4 linked regions of the Oryctolagus cuniculus genome follow. Each later gene encodes a partner of the first gene's protein in a complex. Links are inferred from orthologs where the notes say so. Each region holds a gene or a part of one and is shown in the gene's direction. Other genes may lie near its edges.

Region 1 (4,956 bases):
GGCGTTGTTCACAGGAAAGTAGTAATACAGAGAGGACAGTCGGGTAGAAACTTGGTTCTCCCTGGCTGCTTTGTGCCTGTGTCTCCTGCCTACAGACCCGCGTTCTGTGCTACCCAGTCTCCAGGCAGTGGCTGCCTGCGTGCTCTCTGGAGGAACATGAGGCTGCTGAGGTTCAGGAGAACCGCACGGGCACTGCCTGATGAGGCCTGGTATGAGCTTGTGCCACGTTCTCCCTGAACATGTAACCTGTAGACCTAAGACACCTAGATGTACGTGGGCCTCTCGTATAGATGGCTTGAGCAGTTGGCACTCACGTGGCCTGGTCAGATCCTGCTGAGTATTTTGCATTGATGAATTGGCTTCATGTTTCTAAATAGAAACCCTTGGAGTAGGAAGTGGTAATTGCTCTGATTGTCAGACAAGCCTGTAGCTGGGAAGTGGTGAGTGTGTCCACTGTTTAGTATGTTGCCAGCTTGGCAACCTGCAGAGTCAGGTCCCTGATGGCCATTCACAACAGACCTCCCAAGCAGGCCCAGCTCTCTGGAGAGGGTCCCTGCGTCAGTGGCTGTGTGTCTTAGAATTAACCTCTTCTTTGTATTCAGGCAGAAAGTGAAACTGTTCACTGCTCACAACAACATGACCAACTATGCCACGGTGTGGGCGTCCAAAACAAACCTTGAGCAGCGGAAAGGGCGAGCTGGCCGTGTGCGGCCTGGATTCTGCTTTCACCTCTGTAGCCGAGCTCGTTTTGAGAGGTGAGACCAAGTGTTGAATGAAGATTGAGGATTTGTTTTTAACCCTTCATGCATCTTCACTGCACATAGCCCCTGGTTTCCTCTGCACTTTGCCATGAACTTAGTGAATTCAGGGTATAAATGCCTCCAGGTAGTGCCTTAGAGGACGTTCCCTGAGAAGTACAGGCATTATTTGAATAAGGAGACTAAATTTTGAGCTCACTTCACCAAGACTACTTCAGAGCCAGGATTGAAACCCAAGTCTCAGTTACATTCAGAGCCTATGAGGCTTCTTGGGGGAGGTGTGTGGATGGGCCAGTTGGCTAAAGATACCCTTTGTACATTAAAGGTGAAAGTAGAGTTGTGTCTGGGGGGTCTTTGTGCTATACACTTGATAATAAAGGGGAGAGTTTGGGGCTTGTATTAATGCGCACGGGAAAGTACGATGTGGCAGAAAATTACTTCAGTGCCCAGGTATACATGGTATGCAGAGGAAAAATCAGATTCGGTAACATCAGACTCCCTTGTAATTCTAAGTACTCTTACGTAGCTGTAGATGAGCATTAGAAGTTAGGAAATTGGCTGCAGCATTTGGAATACGTTTAGTTCTTTGTAAACATTGGCTATTCACTTGCACTGAAGAAACAAATACTGTTTGACATCTTAGAGTAAAATCGCCTACTAATTAGTAACAATGTGAGATTTTTGCTCTTTTGTCTATAGTGGGAAGAGCAGATATGCTACTTTTGTAGACTTGAATTAAGCTGATCTGTCTTGCCAGCAATGTTGGAATTAACCCATGAATCTTCGTTGTGAGTAGTTTATAGGAAATGAGCCTGGATTAGAAGTGTACAGACCTAGATTTTAATACTGTCTATGCCTAATACCGATACATGGCATAATCCTAAATATTTAAATTCTTTAGGACTTTGTTTACCCCTCCCATAAAATGAGACTACATTACCTGGCCTGTCTCTGTGTTCTTAGTCATGAGAGGATGAGAGTAATGCCTAATCTATCTATAAGATTGGTGTGAAAAAAAAGTGAGTTAATAATGTCAAATTCACACAGCAGTGCCTGGCACAAAGGAAATTCTAACATTATAATAACTTGTATTTGAATTTTAAAAGGTTAGTTGATCTGTAAGACCCTTCCCAGTAGCACTAAAAGTTACATAGACAGAAAGTCTTGCTGCTGTTTTAACCAGTGTTTGTCAACAGACAAGAGACCTGAGGAAGCTATAGGTAGTGACATTAGGGGAATGGATCGTCTCTCCAGCCTTCCTTCAGTTGAGAGTACCACCAGGCACTAAGTCAGAATCAGCTGAAATCTTGTCCAGAGAATGTCTGCATGTTTAATTATGAAAGATGGAGAAAGGGCAGATCTTTGTATCCATCATTCCCTTGCGAAGCCTTTATTAATATCTGCATATGCAAAAAGGATGTTTCTTCTGCTCCTTCCCCAGACTGGAAACCCACATGACACCAGAGATGTTCCGGACACCACTGCATGAAATTGCCTTGAGCATCAAGCTTCTGCGTCTCGGAGGAATCGGCCAGTTTCTGGCTAAGGCGATAGAGCCCCCGCCCCTGGACGCTGTGATTGAAGCGGAGCACACTCTGAGAGGTGTGTGCACTCAGACCTGTGCCTGAGGACCCCACGCAGCACGTCAGGGGGCTGTGAAGGGAGGGCTTTCAGTGTCACTTCATGTGCTCAGTCAAGCCATCATTACAAAGAAAACTTAAGAATGGGATAATGTTCTCATTTTGGGGGAAAAATTAAAAGGGAAAAGGTAAGGCATTATCTCTTAACTAGTACTTAAAGATCAGAATATCGTGATGCCCATAAAATTTTATATGCATCTCTTAGAACATTTATTTATGTCTTATCAGAAACAGTATACGAAAATACAAGGGTATTGCAGCCAAATGCTTCTGAATTTCAGTTCACCTGCCGTGTGAACTTCAGGTTTTGCTTTTGCAGATTTCTTTTCTTTCTCTAAAAATCATCACGAGATGGGTGTCAGACTTTGAGGCACGTAGGTACTTGCAGTGCTGTTACAATTAGCACCATTACAGACTTCTCACGGCATGTCCTTCATGCAGGGCGCTGCAGAGTTGGGTTCTACTCCGTTTGTGAGGAGAACTGTGGGCTGCAAGCATGGTGTTGGCGGTCAGGCTGACCGGTGTGAGGTCCTAAGTGCAGCGTCGGTGCCCTAACAGTCCACAAAGAAGGCTGCTGCCTGTCTAGGGCCAAGGATGTTTGTTATGACCTCTGCTCACAAGGAATTATCTCCCCGCAGAGCTGGACGCACTAGATGCCAATGATGAGTTGACTCCTCTGGGACGGATCCTAGCTAAACTCCCTATTGAGCCTCGTCTTGGCAAAATGATGATCATGGGGTGTATTTTCTAGTAAGTATGTTGTTTTATTGCTGACAGTTAAGTGACAGAAAGTTTCAGAATCAAAACCCTCCCCCCATAAAAGCAAGATGGGCTCAAGTAGAAGAAACTCAGGCTTCAGAAGTAAAGAAAAGCACGCTGTGAGATAAGAAACGGGACTTGTTCCCTTGTTGCTCATCTCAGGAGCTGGGGTGTCTCTTGGAAGAAAATAGTCTTAGGAAAAGAGGTGTGGGTGTGTGTGCATACAATTTTTTTTAGAGATGTATTTATTTGAAAGAGTTAGAGGAAAGGAGAGACAGATCTCCCAGTGGCTGCAGTGCTGAGCCAGGCCGAAGCCAGGAGCGTTGCCCAAGTCTCCATGCAGGTGCAGGGGCTCAAGCACTCTGGCTGTTCCTCCTGCTTTCCCAGGCGCTTCAGCAGGGAGCCGGGTGGAAGCGGAGCAGCTGGGGCTCGATCGGCGCCCACATGGGATGCTGGAGTTGCAGGTGGTGGCCTAACCCATTCTGCCACAATGCCAGCCCCAAAGAGAGTTATTTTACCACAGCATTTGGAAGGTGAGAAAATGGAAAAGGACTAGGAAAGGAAGAATATAGTACTTGGTCATAGTTTATGGTAGATAGGTGGCCATCAGCTCCAGAGTTGATTGTCCCCTTCTGCTCTGAGGAGAGCAGCTGTAATGTTCCCTCACTCATCAAAGCCGAAAGACTCCAGTCCACGTTTGCCAGTCCTGCCTCACCTCTTGTGAACGTGTGTGTGTTGCAGTGTGGGAGACGCTGTCTGCACCATCTCTGCTGCTACCTGCTTCCCAGAGCCTTTCATCAACGAAGGAAAGCGGCTCGGCTACATCCATCGGAATTTTGCTGGGAACAGATTCTCTGATCACGTGGCCCTGTTATCGGTATTCCAAGCCTGGGATGATGCCAGGTATGGGCTTGAGCTTTGGGTGAACTAGCTCTAGTTTCTAATTTGTACCTAGATCTCTGGTCTTTGAGAATGACCCCCTTAATGTCCTAATTTATTTTAGAATGAGTGGAGAAGAAGCAGAGATACGTTTTTGTGAACACAAAAGACTCAATATGGCTACACTGAGAATGACTTGGGAAGCCAAAGTTCAGCTTAAAGAGATTCTGATTAATTCTGGATTTCCAGAAGGTAATTTTCAGAATATTTTCAAAGTGACATCGATGTACTATGTGCACATTAACATGTATTTCAACTTCAGACTTTAGATCCTGTGGTTTTTCTGTGTTTCTAGCCTTTAGTACTTTGTGGTGATAACAGTTTTTTTACATTAAGTCTTTTAAAAAAGGAGGTAAAAGGTTTTCATCCTGAAAGAGTTTGAGAAATGGTGTATCAGTTTGCCCCATGTTCATTTTTAGACTTGACGTGGATTCTCCCATGTTCAGTGGCTTGAACTGAATTTCTGTGTGTAGATGGTTCTAGATGTTCCGTGCCTTAGAAATAGAGACAGTGGTCCAATTCTTCATCTCTTGATGGGAGCTGGAACCATATACTTTAATTGGCAAAATCTTTACAGTGGTCCTGGGTACAGATATTGTCCCAATTTAAAAGATCATAAAACCAACATAGAAGTTCACAGTTTTAAGCTTTATTCAGTGAGGACATTGTAAGATTTCGTCTCAGGCTGAGCTAGAGCAGAATCTGCGCAGGCCTTGGCGCTCGTGTTTCCAGATGCGGTGCTCATGAACTGTAGTTGGACTTGGACGCGCCTGCCTCCATTCCGGTGGGTGTCCTTTGCTGCGTCTCTCCATCTGCACACGCAGCAGTTTAAGAACAACAAATACATTGACCATTGACCT
Region 2 (4,956 bases), about 64 Mb from region 1:
GTTTGTCTTGATACTTGTAAGTGAAGCTGTTTCACCCGCTCCCCCACGCAGTCCTCAAATGCCTTGGGTTTTTTTGACAATGTTAGATTGCAGTACGTTTAACCTAAGTGCAGAAAACATGTACAGTTTTCTAAAAAGCAAAGATAATGATTGATACCCAGAGTGCAGTAGTTTAATATTAATATGCCATCAGTTGTGTTGAATTGATTTTACAGGCTTTGGCAATTTTAATTGTAATTTAAAGCTTCTTATTCTTGAATGTGAAATTGATGCCAATTTTGGACTAGTTAGCTAATGGAAACTGTTAACGTGTCCTACAGTAATTTCCTTTTATTTTGGGATTGTTAAGTCAGCTACTTGGGCTGGTTAAATACTTAACTGATGACTTTTCCCATTAGCACTCAAGTATATTCCCTATTCTAAAAGACTGTAATACTATTTCAATAACTGCTCTTTTGTTCTCAATTCCAGTTCAGTAGCTGCTGCTTTAACATAAGTTGATTTCTTCCAAAGACCTGGGGCAGCAGCAGTGGGCCATCACTGGGCCACTAGCTTTCTTCAGCAGCGAATGGTATCAATGGCAGCACTGTAAATACTACGTTACCCAGTTGGGTTGCAATCGAGTATGCGGAATTATTGCAAACCTTTAAATGGGCCGTGGCTGTCAGATTTTACTTAAATTACGTTGGGTTAGCGTTTGATCAGAATAGGATGCACCAGTCTTTCCAGTGTGAAATAGAACCAAGAGTAGAAATCGTACTTGAAAAGTTAAAATGTCAAGTTGCTCTGGTAAGGCGGAAGTTAGATTCGGATGCTTCCTTGTACAGATTGTTGATTCAGGTGATAAATGGTGATACCTCTGATTTCTTACTTGAATACCCTGTACAGGTAGTTAAGAGTTGAGTCTTTGGGAAAAAAATGCATATGGAAAAGGTGGCTTGAAATTTTGATGTCAAAATCAGTTGCTTCAAGTTACTAGCAGTTACCAAGATGCTGAAGCACTGATTACAGGAGCAACAACAGCTTCTTGAAATCATAGTTCTATCAGTGATCAGGAATTTCAGGAGCAAAGCTAATTTAAAAGTTCCGAACTGTAGGTTTCCTGTCCTGTAAAAAGGAAAAGAGCCAGCTTTCTACCTTGACTTTAGCTGTCCCTCACGTGACCCAGAGGTAGCTAGATTAAAGATGCTTTGGATTTGGATGACCTGATTAAGAGCTTAATCCTTAATTGTTGCTAATACACAAATACACAAGACCAAAATGCTGTAATATTGACAGTGTTAGAAGACCAGATTTGTATATTCCAAGTTGAGGCTGCCTTGCCTTATTCCTAAGATTTAGAAAATAATTTAGGACTTAGGAGCCTAGTGTTAAAGTACGGGATCAACAGCTCATACTCCTATGTTCAAATATTTGGCCGTGGCCTCCCTTCAGTTTTATTGTGGCACTGGTAAATTCTACCTGGTTCTGGCATGCTTCACTTTGATTTCCTGCTATCCTCTACTGCGTGCCTCTAAATCAAGGTAAAGAGCAGAGCAGGTATGTATCCATGTCACATGTCTTGTTTTATATTCTTAAAGACATTAAGCCTTAGTTTATAGGCAGTTTACTCTTTAGTACTTAATTTGATAAGAATGGTGGGAGTGGGGCTTACACGGAAAATTGGGAAAACAGCATGGTGTTAAAAACTGTTTTCTGCAGCATTAAGAAGTACATGAAAAAAATTTAACATCCAAGTTTTGTCTACATAGCAAATAGATTTCCATTGGATGTCAAAAGAATAATATGGTATTTAATATAATTGCAGATAATTGTGATCTACATTTTAAAATATCAAGAGATCGCCTCAGTGCTTCTTCGCTTACTATGGAGAGCTTTGCCTTTCTTTGGGCTGGAGGAAGGGCATCTTATGGTGTGTCAAAAGGCAAAGTCTGTTTTGAGATGAAGGTAAATGCAATGTTGTGAGGTTTCTGGAACCTTCATTTTGTAATAGTGAAGCAAGTTTATTTATCAGAATTTGCCCTATAGAGCCAGCCCATACATTATTTAGGGCACTCCATTATATGAGGCCCTTGAAAAGGGCCACCAAAGAGTTAAAATTTCTTTTGGTTAGAGTGTTGGTTTTATGAGAAAAACATCAATTGAGAATGTAATTTAAAAATATTGTTCTAAAAATCTAAATCAACCAAGTATTTAATTTTAAGTTATAAGCCCTTACATCAATTGGAAAATACTGGGAGTGGGGTAGAGTTGGGTGTCCTGTCTTTGTATAAATAGCTAGAGAAGAATTTTAGGTACCCATAGCCCAAGTGAGATAAACCAGGCACATAAATAACCTACCTACCTTGGTTTACAGTTAATGATATAATGACTTAACTTTCAGGTTACAGAGAAGATACCTGTAAGGCATTTATATACAAAAGATATAGACATACATGAAGTTCGGATTGGCTGGTCGCTAACCACAAGTGGAATGTTGCTAGGTAAAGTTTACATTGAGTACTGCAAGTTCATGAATGTCTGATTTCATTAACTATCTGCAGGCATTCAAAACCTTTTCTTGTTATTTTCATTCTGTTTTAGAGAATAGTAACAGTAGGCAGAGTCTAAATTTGCTTTTGTTCCTTTATGGTTGTTTGAGTTATGACTAATGGCTTGAGCAGCATACTTTTTTTTCTAAAGACTGATTTATTTTTTGGAAAGGTAGAGTTAGAGGGGGAGAAGAGATCTTCCATCCGCTGGCTCACTCCCTAAATGGCCGCCATGACTGGGGCTGGGCCATGCCAGTGCCAGAAACAAGGAGCTTCTTCTGGGTCTCCCTCATGGGTGACAGGGGTGCAAGAACTTGGGACATTTTTCCTGTGCATTAAGGAGGAGCCTTTTTAAAGATTTGATTTGAGAGGTAGAGTTGTGGACAGAGGGAGAGACAGAAAGGTCTAACATCACCAGTTCACTCCCCAAATGGCAGCAACAGCTGGAGCTGGACTGATCTGAAGCTTAGGAGCCAGGAGCTTCTAACAAGGTCTCCCACTTGGGCCATCTTCTACCGCTTTTCCAGGCTGTAGCAGAGCTGAATTGGAAGAGGAGCAGCCGGGACTAGAACCGGAGCCCATATGAAGTGCTGGCACTGCAGGCTGGGGATTAACCTGTGCCACAGGGTTGGCCCCTGTATACAAGACATGCAGTTTGTCCACAAATTTTATTTTGTAATAGGTCCAGTTAGCCTTCATCAATTTTTACATCTAGTGTAGAGGTAGTTAAAACTGAATGCCAATGATGGATTCTTAGGTTATTTAAGCTACTTATGAAAACTTCATGTAATACTGGAATTACCTATTCCAGTGCAAAAACTCCTGAAATGCATGCAGCTTTTTGGTAATACACATTTTCTGTGAACTTTTGAAGACTACTTTTGCTTAGTTTCTATTACATCCTATATTTTGAATAGTAAACCAGGCGGGTCTTTGGATTGTTTTAAATATTTACTTCATGAAAATTACTTTTTTAGGTGAAGAAGAATTTTCTTATGGGTATTCTCTGAAAGGAATAAAAACATGCAACTGTGAGACTGAAGATTATGGAGAGAAGTTTGATGAAAATGATGTGATCACCTGTTTTGCTGTAAGTCAGGGCTGCATAATTCAGCCTTCACTGTGATCAACAAGGTTAAGATTTCATTAGTTATCAGGAAAAATAAAAATTTTGAGAAACAAAGCAGATGAATTTTGAAAGTGTAGCTCACTTTCTAGGGCACTGTTTGTGCTTCAGTGTTTAGCTATCAAAGTTCTTAACATTTAATGTTTACCACAAGATTAAAAGTCATTCCCAGTTATGAATTTTTGCATTTTCTCAGAAAGCCTATAGGAAGTAGATTAAAGTTGTTTTTCTGTTTGAACAGAATTTTGAAAGTGATGAAGTAGAACTCTCCTACGCTAAGAATGGACAGGAGCTTGGCGTTGCCTTCAAAATCAGTAAAGAAGTTCTTGCTGGACGGCCACTGTTCCCGCATGTTCTCTGCCACAACTGTGCAGTTGAATTTAATTTTGGTCAGAAGGAAAAGCCATATTTTCCAATACCTGAAGAATATACTTTCATCCAGAATGTCCCCTTAGAGGACCGGGTTAGAGGACCTAAGGGCCCTGAAGAGAAGAAGGATTGTGAGGTAAGCGATTTTTATTTTCAGCTGTGGCATGTGAAAGATCGCTTTTGGTTGATAAAAAAGTGACAGATACGGATGAGTGTTGTGTTTTCATTTGCTTTTTCCCAAATGTAGTACTTAATAGTTCCTTTAACGTTGGAGTGTTAAACTTTCTCAAGTTGTCTTCCTGGGTCTATGAGACTGGATTGCTGAATTCCTAGATAATAACCAGAGAGACTTACAGTTAACTTGTAAGGATGAGACAGTGAATTAATGTTTCTTTGCTGCACAGGTTGTGATGATGATTGGCTTGCCAGGAGCTGGAAAAACTACCTGGGTTACTAAGCATGCAGCTGAGAATCCTGGGAAATACAACATTCTTGGCACAAATACCATTATGGATAAAATGATGGTAAGTAAGATGTTTAGGAACTGATCTCAGCTTTTCAAATAAACTACAAGGTTCTCTAGGCTCTTGTTTGCCTGTTGCTATCTTTCATTTTGGTACCTTAGAGATACAAATTTGAACAAAGTCAAATTAGTTTATTTATGTGAAAGGCAGAGTTAGAGAGGGGGGAGTGCTCTCTTCCATCGACAAGTTCATTATCCAGATGGCTCCCACCATGGCTGGGGCTGGGCCAGGCCCAGGCGGGAGCCAGGAACTTCACTCCGATCTCCCAAGTGGGTGTAGGGGCCCAAACACTTTGGCCATCTGGCTGCTTTCCTAGGATATCAGCAGGGAGCTGGACTCGAAGTAGGCCGCTGACTGCTGCCCATGTGGGATTCTAGCCTCGCGGGCAGCAGAGCCAAACACACAG
Region 3 (4,879 bases), on another chromosome or scaffold:
GTGCAGCCCCCGAGAGAGCCGGCCGGCGGTGTGCCACTCCCCCGCGGAAGTGGGGAAAGTGGCAGGGGGAACCGCCCTTCCACGGAGGTGGGAGGGACGGTAGCCAACCTGGGAAGAACCAGCAGCAAACCCGGGGAGGGCCGAGCAGACAAAAGAACAGTGCAGGGTCTAGTGTCGTTCCTCCACGAAGACGGGGAGCGACATAATGGTGCCGTGACTCGGATATGAAGCCTAGGCAGGGTTTAGTGTCATTCCTCCATGAAGGGGGGAGCGACATAATGGTGCCGTGACTCGGATAGGAAACCCAGGAGGGAAGAAATGGGAAGAAGTGGGAAAATACCGGAGAGAGAGACTAGAAGAGCCTAGGGAAAAGCCGGACGGAAAAGGTGCCGGAAGAAGCTATTGAAAGCCTAGGCATAGACTCGGATACGGACTACGAGGGGAAGCTGGGAGAAATCTCTAAGGTTGAAAGCGAAAGTGAAAGCTAGAACAAACAAACTTGGATACGGACTGTGGGGAGAAGCCAGGAGAAATGAAAGGGGAATATTGTTGGAAGAAAAGTTAGGAAACATACCGGGTAGAGAAAAATGTTAGGGAGGATGAAGCCGCAGGGGCAGGCCGAGGTGGAGACGTAAGCTAGCTTGGAATTCTTCAAGTCAGCCCAGGGAGCAAAAGGCGAAAATCTGGAACCAGAGGCAGAGACGTGGGCCGCCAGGTTGGAATCCGTCAGATTAGCCCGGGGAGCAAAAGACGGGAAGCCAAACCGAAAGGCGCAGACGTGAGCTAGGTTGAATTCGCCAAGTTAGCCCAGGGAACTTAGACTGAATACCGGTGGCGGAAACGTGAGCTAGGCTGTGTGATTTGCGGAAGCTGCCGCGCGCAGAGAGAGCGTGCGGGGCACGAATAGATAGGGAACGTGGGGCTAGCGCAAGGCTGTGGTACGGGTGTGAAGGGGAGCGGAGACCGCGGAGCATGCGCGAAGCCGGGAAGTGGCACAGAGCCGGGAAGCCGCTGCGGGGCAAGGTGCCAAGAAGCAGCCTCGGGGCGGGCGCCGGGATGCCGCAGGGATAAGAGAAATAGAAGTATAGAAGTAAAATGAGAGAAATAGGAATGCTGGCAGATAGAAGTAAAATAGGAGAAATAGGAATGCCTGGAGATAGAGAAATAGAAAGGCCTCCCCACAACACGGCAATGAGAGAGCTTGGATTCGGTCTGCCTGATTAGTAAGACGATAAGCACCTGTGAGCGGCTGCATGTCACCGAAGACAGGCACGTTATCAACACCAATAAGTCTCCCCACAAGACGGCGATGATAGGGCTTGGATTCGGTTTGCCTGATTGGTAGGGCTTGTAAGCACCTGCAGGCAGTTCTAGCAGAGCAGAGCATGCGCTGCAGGGCACCGAACACAGGCACGCATCAGCGCCTAAAAACCTCACAACATGGCGAAGAGAGGACCCGGATTCGGTTTGCCTGATTGATAGGACTTGTAAGAACCTGTGGGCAACTCCAGCAAGCAGAGCAGAGTGTGTGCCACGGGGCACCGAAGACAGGCGCGTATCAACGCCAAAAAATAAAAAGAAAGGGGGATCTGTGGGGAGCAACTCAGACTAGACTGTTACTGGAATTAAGACTTATTCTATGCATCTGCTCTCCCACAATATGGCGCTGGGAGAGGAGTAAACAGCTTCTACTCAGCTGCCTCCAGTTCAACCAATAAACAGCAGGACCTGCTCCTGATTGGAGGAGAGCAGCATACTCGGCGTGTGGGTAGCAGAGTTGGGATTGGTGGAAGAGGACTATAAAGGAGGAGAGAGACAACATGCACCAGGAACATCTAAGAGGAACACCTGTGCAGCCCCCGAGAGAGCCGGCTGGCGGTGTGCTGCTCCCCCGCGGAAGTGGGGAAAGTGGCAGGGGGAACCGCCCTTCCACGGAGGTGGGAGGGACGGTAGCCAACCTGGGAAGAACCAGCAGCAAACCCGGGGAGGGCCGAGCAGACAAAAGAACAGCGCAGGGTCTAGTGTCGTTCCTCCACGAAGACGGGGAGCGACATAATGGTGCCGTGACTCGGATATGAAGCCTAGGCAGGGTTTAGTGTCGTTCCTCCATGAAGAGGGGGAGCGACAGTAGGCTGAAACAGTAGTAGATTATTTAGAAATAGAATTAATGTTGTGTAGGATTATTAATAATGCTGATATTTTGATACTTAAAATGGAAGAGCACTAAAGATAAATCATTGTATGAGGCAACCTCAAAGTTCATGGAAAGTGGAATTTAAAGAGAAGTATCTGGGTACAAACATGTTTGAAATGCATGTTTTTAAAAATAATACACATAGTTCGATCGGTAGCGGGAGCGGAGAGCGGACCCCAGAGAGCCCTGAGCAGCCCCACCGCCACCGCCGGCCTAGTTACCATCACACCCCGGGAGGAGCCTCAGCTGCCGCAGCCGGCCCCAGTCACCATCACCGCAACTATGAGCAGCGAGGCCGAGACCCAGCAGCCGCCCGCCGCCCCCGCCCTCAGCGCCGTGGAAACCAAGCCCGGCACCACGGGCAGCGGCGCAGGGAGCGGTGGCCTGGGCAGCCTCACATTGGCGGCGCCCGCCGGCGGGGACAAGAAGGTCATCGCAACGAAGGTTTTGGGAACAGTAAAATGGTTCAATGTAAGAAACGGATATGGTTTCATCAACAGGAATGACACCAAGGAAGATGTATTTGTACACCAGACTGCCATAAAGAAGAATAACCCCAGGAAGTACCTTCGCAGTGTAGGAGATGGAGAGACTGTGGAGTTTGATGTTGTTGAAGGAGAAAAGGGTGCGGAGGCAGCAAATGTTACAGGTCCTGGTGGAGTTCCAGTGCAAGGCAGTAAATATGCAGCAGACCGTAACCATTATAGACGCTACCCATGTCGTAGGGGTCCTCCACGCAATTACCAGCAGAATTACCAGAATAGTGAGAGTGGGGAAAAGAATGAGGGATCGGAGAGCGCTCCCGAAGGCCAGGCCCAACAACGCCGGCCCTACCGCAGGCGAAGGTTCCCACCTTACTACATGCGGAGACCCTATGGGCGTCGACCACAGTATTCCAACCCTCCTGTGCAGGGAGAAGTGATGGAAGGTGCTGACAACCAGGGTGCAGGAGAACAAGGTAGACCAGTGAGACAGAATATGTATCGGGGTTATAGACCACGATTCCGCAGAGGTCCTCCTCGCCAAAGACAGCCTAGAGAGGACGGCAATGAAGAAGACAAGGAAAACCAAGGAGATGAGACCCAGGGTCAGCAGCCACCTCAGCGTTGGTACCGCCGCAACTTCAACTACTGACGCAGACGCCCAGATAACCCTAAACCACAAGATGGCAAAGAGACAAAAGCAGCCGATCCACCAGCTGAGAATTCGTCCGCTCCCGAGGCTGAGCAGGGCGGGGCTGAGTAAATGCCGGCTTAACATCTCTACCATCATCCGGTTTAGTCATCCAACAAGAAGAAATGAATATGAAATTCCAGCAATAAGAAATGAACAAAAGATTGGAGCTGAAGACCTTAAGTGCTTGCTTTTTGCCCATTGACCAGATTACTAGAACTATCTGCATTATCTATGCAGCATGGGGTTTTTATTATTTTTACCTAAAGATGTCTCTTTTTGGTAACGACAAACGTGTTTTTTAAAAAAGCCTGGTTTTTCTCAATACACCTTTAAAGGTTTTTAAATTGTTTCATATCTGGTCAAGTTGAGATTTTTAAGAACTTCATTTTTAATTTGTAATAAAAGTTTACAACTTGATTTTTTCAAAAAAGTCAACAAACTGCAAGCACCTGCTAATAAAGGTCTTAAATAAAAAAAAAATAATACACATTATCCATGAACTTTTTGAAGATCCTTTGTACAGAAGCACAGGGTGGTAGTTGAGGGTATGAGTTTGAACCCTTCCTCCCACTCTTGGTAGTGTGATGTTTGTGTCCTTGTTTCAGATTCCCCATTTGTAAAGTTGGAATGATGATAATACATATTTCATTGTGATGTCATGTGTAAGAATTGTGAATAGTAAGTGTATCATAATTATTAGGGATTAAAGAGTAACTTTTCCTCTAAGTTATGCTTGCTAATATGTCAGTTGGGCTATATTTTTCTGCTGCAGTTATTAAAAGGACTTGTGTAGAGCTTTTGTAGGATTTTGAAGAAGGAATAAAGATCCCTCGCAGAGACCTTGAACCTAGAATCAAGCTCACAGTGACCCGGTTTTTGTAGAGTTCTGAGGTCCACTAGTGAGTCAGGATCAACCTAGATTTATGAAATTGCAGCCATGGAGTGTGACACTACTCCCTAAGAACATTTATCTCTGTGTTGAACTTCATACTAGACTAGAATTAAATAGAATAGAAGTAAAATAATAGAGGACAGAAGTGGTTGGCCTTTGTAGGCTGTTATTGTGTATGAACTAAAGAGCGTGATTATTAGTGGTCATTGGATTTGGATAAGCCAGTCTGAGACCATGATACTAAATTTTTTTTTCAAAATAAAATATTTTGATAATTTTGATGTTTAATACATTTTACTCTTGCTTGCCACCGTACAGGCTGGAGGAAAGGTCTTGGGAATTTTGTGCTTTCACATCCTGTGTGACCTTTAAAACTTGGCATTTTACTTTTCACTACCCAAAATTACTTGCACGTCTATTAAATTTCTAAATATCAGTTATCATTAAGAAACGCCACCACCATGCTTAATTACTTGTGTAATCAAGGGAGATAATATAATATAGTAAATGTTAGTCTAATGGATTTAGGGCTTGCTAGGAAAATCTAAGAGGCCTTTTGGATTAAAGACCAAAAGGCCGCTGACCAAACCTCATAGTACTGGGAGCGCCCTCTGCTG
Region 4 (5,468 bases), on another chromosome or scaffold:
CTGCTCCGCGCGCAGGGGAGACCGGGAGGGGGGCCGGAGGCGCCGGGTGCTGTCCGGGCGCCCCCGACCCTCGGGGCCGTGGGTCCCCCGGCCCGAGGGCGCGCAGCCCGAGTCGGGGCCAGCTCTAAGACTCTGCAAGGATCAGCAGTAACAATACAAACCCCGGGCGTTCGTGTTGGTGTAGGCAACACGTGTTCCGGAGTCGCCCGGGCCCCAGGCGACTGAGACAATGGGGTCGGGGACCCGGGAAGGGGGGACCCCCTTCTTCACCTGCCCTCGCCGTGCACGCGCCCCCGACAGAACTAGTCTCCTACCTCCCCCGCAGACCCCACCCCCCCGGAACACCCCACCTTCCGCCCAGCTCTGGAGGACCCCGGCATTCCCGAGGGTCGACCCCCCGCGCTTCTCTCCTGCGCCCGCGGGCCGCGCTACCCGCCACCCCCGGACGCCATCCCAGCCCCCTCCGCCAGAAACGTCGCCTCCGCTCGCCGCTCGGCCGGGGATCCCGGGCGTGCGCGTGGGGCGCGCGTCCCGCTCTCCACCGCGGATCCGGACTCTGAAGCGCGCGGAGAGCTGCCCCCTCCCCCACTGCCCAGACGGGGTGCGACCGCCCACGTGTCGCCCCTCGCCCAGCCTAGTCCTTCTCTCGGGCTCCCGAGCCCGCGGATCCGGAACGAGTTGGTCAAAGACGAGGGAAGGGATCTGGGCGGATCCGCTTCCCCCTCCCCAGGAACGGGCGAGCGGGAGGGACCGCCGCCCCCTCCCAGAAGCTCCCGCCCCTCGCTTCCCCCAGCGCGGAGCGGAAATTACCCCCTCCCCCCGCGGGTCTGACCTGGGGACGTGGGCGGGGCTTCGCGCTGGGCCCCCGCCCTCCGCCCCTCTCCCGCCTTCCCGAATCCTGCGCCCCAAACAAAGTTCCGAGACCCAAACCCAGCGCCCGCCGGAGTCGTGGCGGCGTCCCGGGGCAGGGTGCGGGCGCAGGGGACTCCACCTGTCTGCCCCCGCCTTGGGGGGCTGGGGGCCCGCTCGGGTCTCCACCCGATTGCACCCCGCCTGCGCTCCCCTACTCGGTCCGCTTGGGTTAGCCGGAGCTGCCACCCGGTTCCCTCGGTCCTGGGGTCGTCCCAGCCGGAGCTGCGCGGTCCCCCGGGAACCCGAACATTATCATTTAGTGGCTAGTACCCCGACACGGGCCCGCGCTTCTCCAGGGGTGTCCGGAACACTATTTCCTGTGAGCTCCTGCTAACCCGCGGCGATCCCCCGTGTTCGCAGGGCCCCGGGTCCTGGATCCCAAGAGGTGGGGGAGGCTCGCGGGGCTGGGGCGGGGAAGGGAAGACCTCCCCCGCCCCCGCTTCGAAACCTAAGGAAAAGGCGCCTTTCTTTTGAAATCACCGGCTCGTGCGACCCCCTCCTGAAGACCCCAGAGTCCCCGGCTTCTCTTTGTCTGTCTTGGTCGTCCCCCGCCTGTCAGTCGCTAGCAGTTAACCGGGTGGGGTAGGCAATCCCGCGCCCCAAAACCAGTGGAAAAATGACCACACGTTTCGCCCCAAAGACGGGAGATTGGGGGCTCGACCACCCTCCCCCAGTTCAGGCTGGGGTAGAGGCAGGGGGAAGGGTGGGGGCGGGGCGCATCCCCGGGGGCCAGGTTCCTGCCAAGGGGGAGGGGGCGGGCAGAGCCTCGGGAGCGTTGCACACCCACCCCCCGCCGCCGCCGCCCCAGTTCCCTCTGAGCGTGAGCCGAGTGCCCCCTCCCTGCCCCCGGGAGGGAAGCTGTTGGGCCGGGCCGGGTTTTCTGGGCAGTGGGGCCCTGTGGCGTCGGGGGTCTTCCCCTGCAGGGTGGGTGGGGGCTGTCACCACGTGGCTTCGGCCTTTTTTTTTTTTTCCGCTCCATTTTTTTTTCAAGTCGGTTTTATTTAGAGGCGGCGCCAGGGCGGCCGCGGAGAAACGTGACACGCCAGCCCGCTCGCAGGGGTTTCGGAGCGAAGGCGAGGAGCAGCGCCGCGCCGTCCGCCTCCCAGCGCGCCGCGGGCACTTTCCGGGCTCCCCCGAACTCCGCCGCGACCTCCGCGCGCCCTCCTGCCGCCCTCCGCGCCCGGGGCTCCGGGCACACTCCCGGGCGGGGTGCACACAAAGTTTGCGGCCGCCGCCGGCCTCCCCGCGCTCGGCCTAGGCGGCTCGCCGCCCGCCCGCCCGCTCGGCCTCGCCCGGCACCGCGTCCTGCCCCGCCGCCGCCACCATGAACAAGCTATACATCGGCAACCTCAACGAGAGCGTGACCCCCGCGGACTTGGAGAAAGTGTTTGCGGAGCACAAGATCTCCTACAGCGGCCAGTTCCTGGTCAAATCCGGCTACGCCTTCGTGGACTGCCCGGACGAGCATTGGGCGATGAAGGCCATCGAAACTTTCTCGGGTAAGCGCGCGGGCCGCCTCCCCGAGCCCCGGGCCGGTTCCCGTACAACGGAGGCCTGTGTTCCGAACCCCCCCCTTCTCCGCCGCCCCGGCCGCCAACTGCTCGTTCAGCGAGCATGCGGGGCCCGGCCTCGCCGCTGACCCTCGACCTGCCGCCTTCGACGCCCCCGCCCCCTCCCGGGAATATTCGGGATTTCCCCACCCTCGGTGGGCTGCTCGGGCTCCCTTCAATCTCCACTCCCATCGCCGGGGCTGCAGCCCCCCTCGGCGGTGGCGGGGGGTGGGTGGTGGTCCGAGGGCCACGAGACGACCCCGTCTGGGCGCTCGCTGCATGTTCAGCCCCTCCCTAGCAGCCGCCAGACGGCCCCCCAGCTGGAGCACCCTCGCTCCCTTCCTAACCCTAGGCCTTCCCGGGCGCGGAAGGGGTCCCCGCCCGATCCCCGAGCTCCCCGCCGTCCGTGGGGATCACAGCCCTCGGGCAAGACTGGGGAGGAAGGGGATCCCGCCTCCCGCCCAGGGCCCGGGGCTTGAGCCATTTTGATTTGAAAGTGGGGCGTGAGCGGTGGCGCGGCGGCGCGGGTCGCCATGCTGCTAACCGAGACGCCGAGGCTGGGCCGAGAGGCGCGCGGCGCGGGACCCTCCCCGCCAGGCCCCGCGCGGCTCCCCCGGGGCCTCGGCGTTGCAACCCGCCCGACAGGTGACCGCCCTGCCGCCCGAAGCCCTTGTCCTACGCGCCACAGTAAAATAAAGTTTGATTCTGCACCCCCCCTCCCCGAGCAGCGGGAAGTCCTTTCTCTGCTGGCTGCGGCTCCGCACATCTGGGAGCCGAACGGGTAGAGCGCCCGCACAGATCACCTCGAACCTTTCCCGGTTCGGGTTCTCCTAGCGATTCACGCCACCAGCTCCGTGGTGACGCAAAGCAGAAATTAAGAGAACATAATAACGAATTGATGGCATCCGGCTGCGGGCGCCACTGACTTGCTTCCGAGGAGAAATCGGGTCCCAGGAACTTGAATTTCCCGAGAGCCCCCTGCCTCAACACCCCTGCCCCTGTTCACGCGCTCACGCTAATTTTTTTTTTTAATCTTTAGGAAAAGTAGAATTACAAGGAAAACGCTTAGAAATTGAACATTCGGTTCCCAAAAAACAAAGGTAGGAAAGAGCGCTTCTCTTCTCTGGGGGGGCGGGGGGAAGGGGACAGAGGTTGGCGAGAGGCCGTGGTCGGGGGTCCACAGCGTCCCCGGGGGCTGAGACCTGGCGTTGGCTTCTCATCCCTCGACTCGGGATGTTGGGGGCTGGGAGGCAAGACTGGAGATCTTGTCATGGGTGGTTTACAGCTTGGAAAAGCAGGAGAAGTTGGGGATGGGGTGGGCAAACAGGCGGTACCTGCAGACTCACAGGGGAGAGAATCAAGCAGAGGGAAGCACCTCGTGGGGCTTGCCTCAAGTGTGGGGCCATTTTGGTGCGGAAGCTTAAAATCTTAGTTCAGGCTTCCTGCAGGCCCCATTTTCCGTCAGGCAGGGTGGTTCGGAAGTGGACTTAGGGGATCCCTTTCTACTCCACTCTGGTGGAGACACAGGTCTGCCCCGCGCACCACCACCCCCCCCCCCCGCCCCGCAGAATTCCCTTACCCTTTATTTATATTTCTGCAACAGGCAGAGACTTCCTACAGACTGCCGCCCCCAGTTCCTCCCACCCCCTCCCCACCCCCACCCCCACTGGCTTTCCCTGAGAATATGCTTTGGCCCTCCTGTCCTGTGGCGGCCCCCACCCCGGCTCCTGCAGCCCATTGTTACCAGGGGGCCATCTGGGGTGAGAGCTTTGTGTTAGGGCTGTGAGCTGGGGCTCTTTGGAGGATCTAGAACTCCGTGGATGAATGGTGTGTGTGTGTGCGCGCGCGCGGGCTTGCGCGCACCCGTACTCCTTATCCTTGGGCCAAACAGGGTGCTTTCTGAGAATTCATGGCGGATTTCGCATCTTTCATTGAACTCTGAAATCTCGAGTTGAGCTCTGGCTAAGGAAGTGTAAGCACAGCCTTCTCTAGTTTCCCAAGCGTGGTGACAGTACCGAGTCTTCTGCTGTTGCCGGCTGGGTTGGCAGTGGCCCCCTGGAAGGCTTCCATCCCCCTTCCCCCTTCGGAAGCAGTTCTTTTTCTAAGTGGGAAGGGGGTGTGTTTGGGGGTGGCTTTGCTTTTAGAGGGGTGGTTAAGAGGATCTCCAAAGTTTAACCAGAGATAGAAATCTGTCCAGTGGTTGAGCTTGATGTATTTAAGCAACTTGGAACTATTGTATCAATAGATGATCAATATGGCTTGTTACTATGTTTATAGAGCTTCTGATTAACCTCAGATGCCTGTAGTACTGTTACTGGAAAGGCAATTAGAGTGAGGAGTGAACAGGCATACAGTTGGAAGAAGGAAAAGAAGTCTTATTTAATCTGAAGCATTTTCTGGAGATGGGAACTGGGAGAAAGAAGTATGCAGAACCCAGTAGATTTATGGAAAAATTCTGGATATTTGAATTGAAAGCTAAGTGGTGTTGGTGAGAAACACTCAGAATAACTGGAATTGTCAATGTATAGATTTTCTTTTGCTCTAGAGAGGATGGTTTAAATTTTAAAGGGAATGAAGTGAAAAGGAAGAGAAATAGCAAAATGTGGTGAAATGGAACTCAAAACATTTATATTTTAATTTTCATGGTGCTCTGTATGTATGGATCTTTCTCCCTAAGCCATCTGCTTGCTTTTAAGCCATTCCTAGCCTCTTGTTCCCTCCAAAATGGGGCTTTTTTTCTTTGAGTTGGAATGGGGAGGGGGTTTGAGAAGCCTGGGTTAAAAAAAAAAATCTCCTTTTCCACACTCATATTAAATTAGATCTTTATTCCTGAAACACTTTTTGTAAGTCCAAACATTGCATTGATTGTGTTTTCTTTTATTTTCTTATTTTTTGGTGGATGGAGGTGGTGAGAAAGGACTTCATTTTTGTAGATTGAATCAATTTTGTTTGGAGCTCTCAGGATTTAAAAAAAGAAAGGTTTGTTTTCGTTAAGTCAGTTTGCTC

Evidence for each region.
Region 2: DHX9 (region 1) and HNRNPU share a complex: the UniProt entries of both Homo sapiens proteins name them as parts of the coding region determinant (CRD)-mediated complex. The link is inferred for Oryctolagus cuniculus from reciprocal best matches to the Homo sapiens genes DHX9 and HNRNPU.
Region 3: DHX9 (region 1) and Y-box-binding protein 1 share a complex: the UniProt entries of both Homo sapiens proteins name them as parts of the coding region determinant (CRD)-mediated complex. The link is inferred for Oryctolagus cuniculus from reciprocal best matches to the Homo sapiens genes DHX9 and YBX1.
Region 4: DHX9 (region 1) and IGF2BP1 share a complex: the UniProt entries of both Homo sapiens proteins name them as parts of the coding region determinant (CRD)-mediated complex. The link is inferred for Oryctolagus cuniculus from reciprocal best matches to the Homo sapiens genes DHX9 and IGF2BP1.

The regions. Positions count from the first base shown.
Region 1 is NC_091444.1:1,071,734-1,076,689, forward strand, and holds part of DHX9 (ATP-dependent RNA helicase A), read left to right. Parts: intron 1-602; coding exon 603-755; intron 756-2,199; coding exon 2,200-2,360; intron 2,361-3,036; coding exon 3,037-3,148; intron 3,149-3,898; coding exon 3,899-4,060; intron 4,061-4,160; coding exon 4,161-4,288; intron 4,289-4,956. UniProt on the Homo sapiens protein: Multifunctional ATP-dependent nucleic acid helicase that unwinds DNA and RNA in a 3' to 5' direction and that plays important roles in many processes, such as DNA replication, transcriptional activation, post-transcriptional RNA regulation, mRNA translation and RNA-mediated gene silencing.
Region 2 is NC_091444.1:64,891,518-64,896,473, reverse strand, and holds part of HNRNPU (heterogeneous nuclear ribonucleoprotein U), read left to right. Parts: coding exon 1-16; intron 17-1,807; coding exon 1,808-1,947; intron 1,948-2,383; coding exon 2,384-2,483; intron 2,484-3,508; coding exon 3,509-3,621; intron 3,622-3,898; coding exon 3,899-4,162; intron 4,163-4,430; coding exon 4,431-4,550; intron 4,551-4,956. UniProt on the Homo sapiens protein: DNA- and RNA-binding protein involved in several cellular processes such as nuclear chromatin organization, telomere-length regulation, transcription, mRNA alternative splicing and stability, Xist-mediated transcriptional silencing and mitotic cell progression.
Region 3 is NC_091434.1:59,356,474-59,361,352, reverse strand, and holds Y-box-binding protein 1, read left to right. Parts: upstream 1-2,299; 5' UTR 2,300-2,314; coding exon 2,315-3,328; 3' UTR 3,329-3,850; downstream 3,851-4,879. UniProt on the Homo sapiens protein: DNA- and RNA-binding protein involved in various processes, such as translational repression, RNA stabilization, mRNA splicing, DNA repair and transcription regulation.
Region 4 is NC_091448.1:25,184,572-25,190,039, forward strand, and holds the start of IGF2BP1 (insulin-like growth factor 2 mRNA-binding protein 1), read left to right. Parts: upstream 1-1,849; 5' UTR 1,850-2,236; coding exon 2,237-2,411; intron 2,412-3,501; coding exon 3,502-3,562; intron 3,563-5,468. UniProt on the Homo sapiens protein: RNA-binding factor that recruits target transcripts to cytoplasmic protein-RNA complexes (mRNPs). This transcript 'caging' into mRNPs allows mRNA transport and transient storage.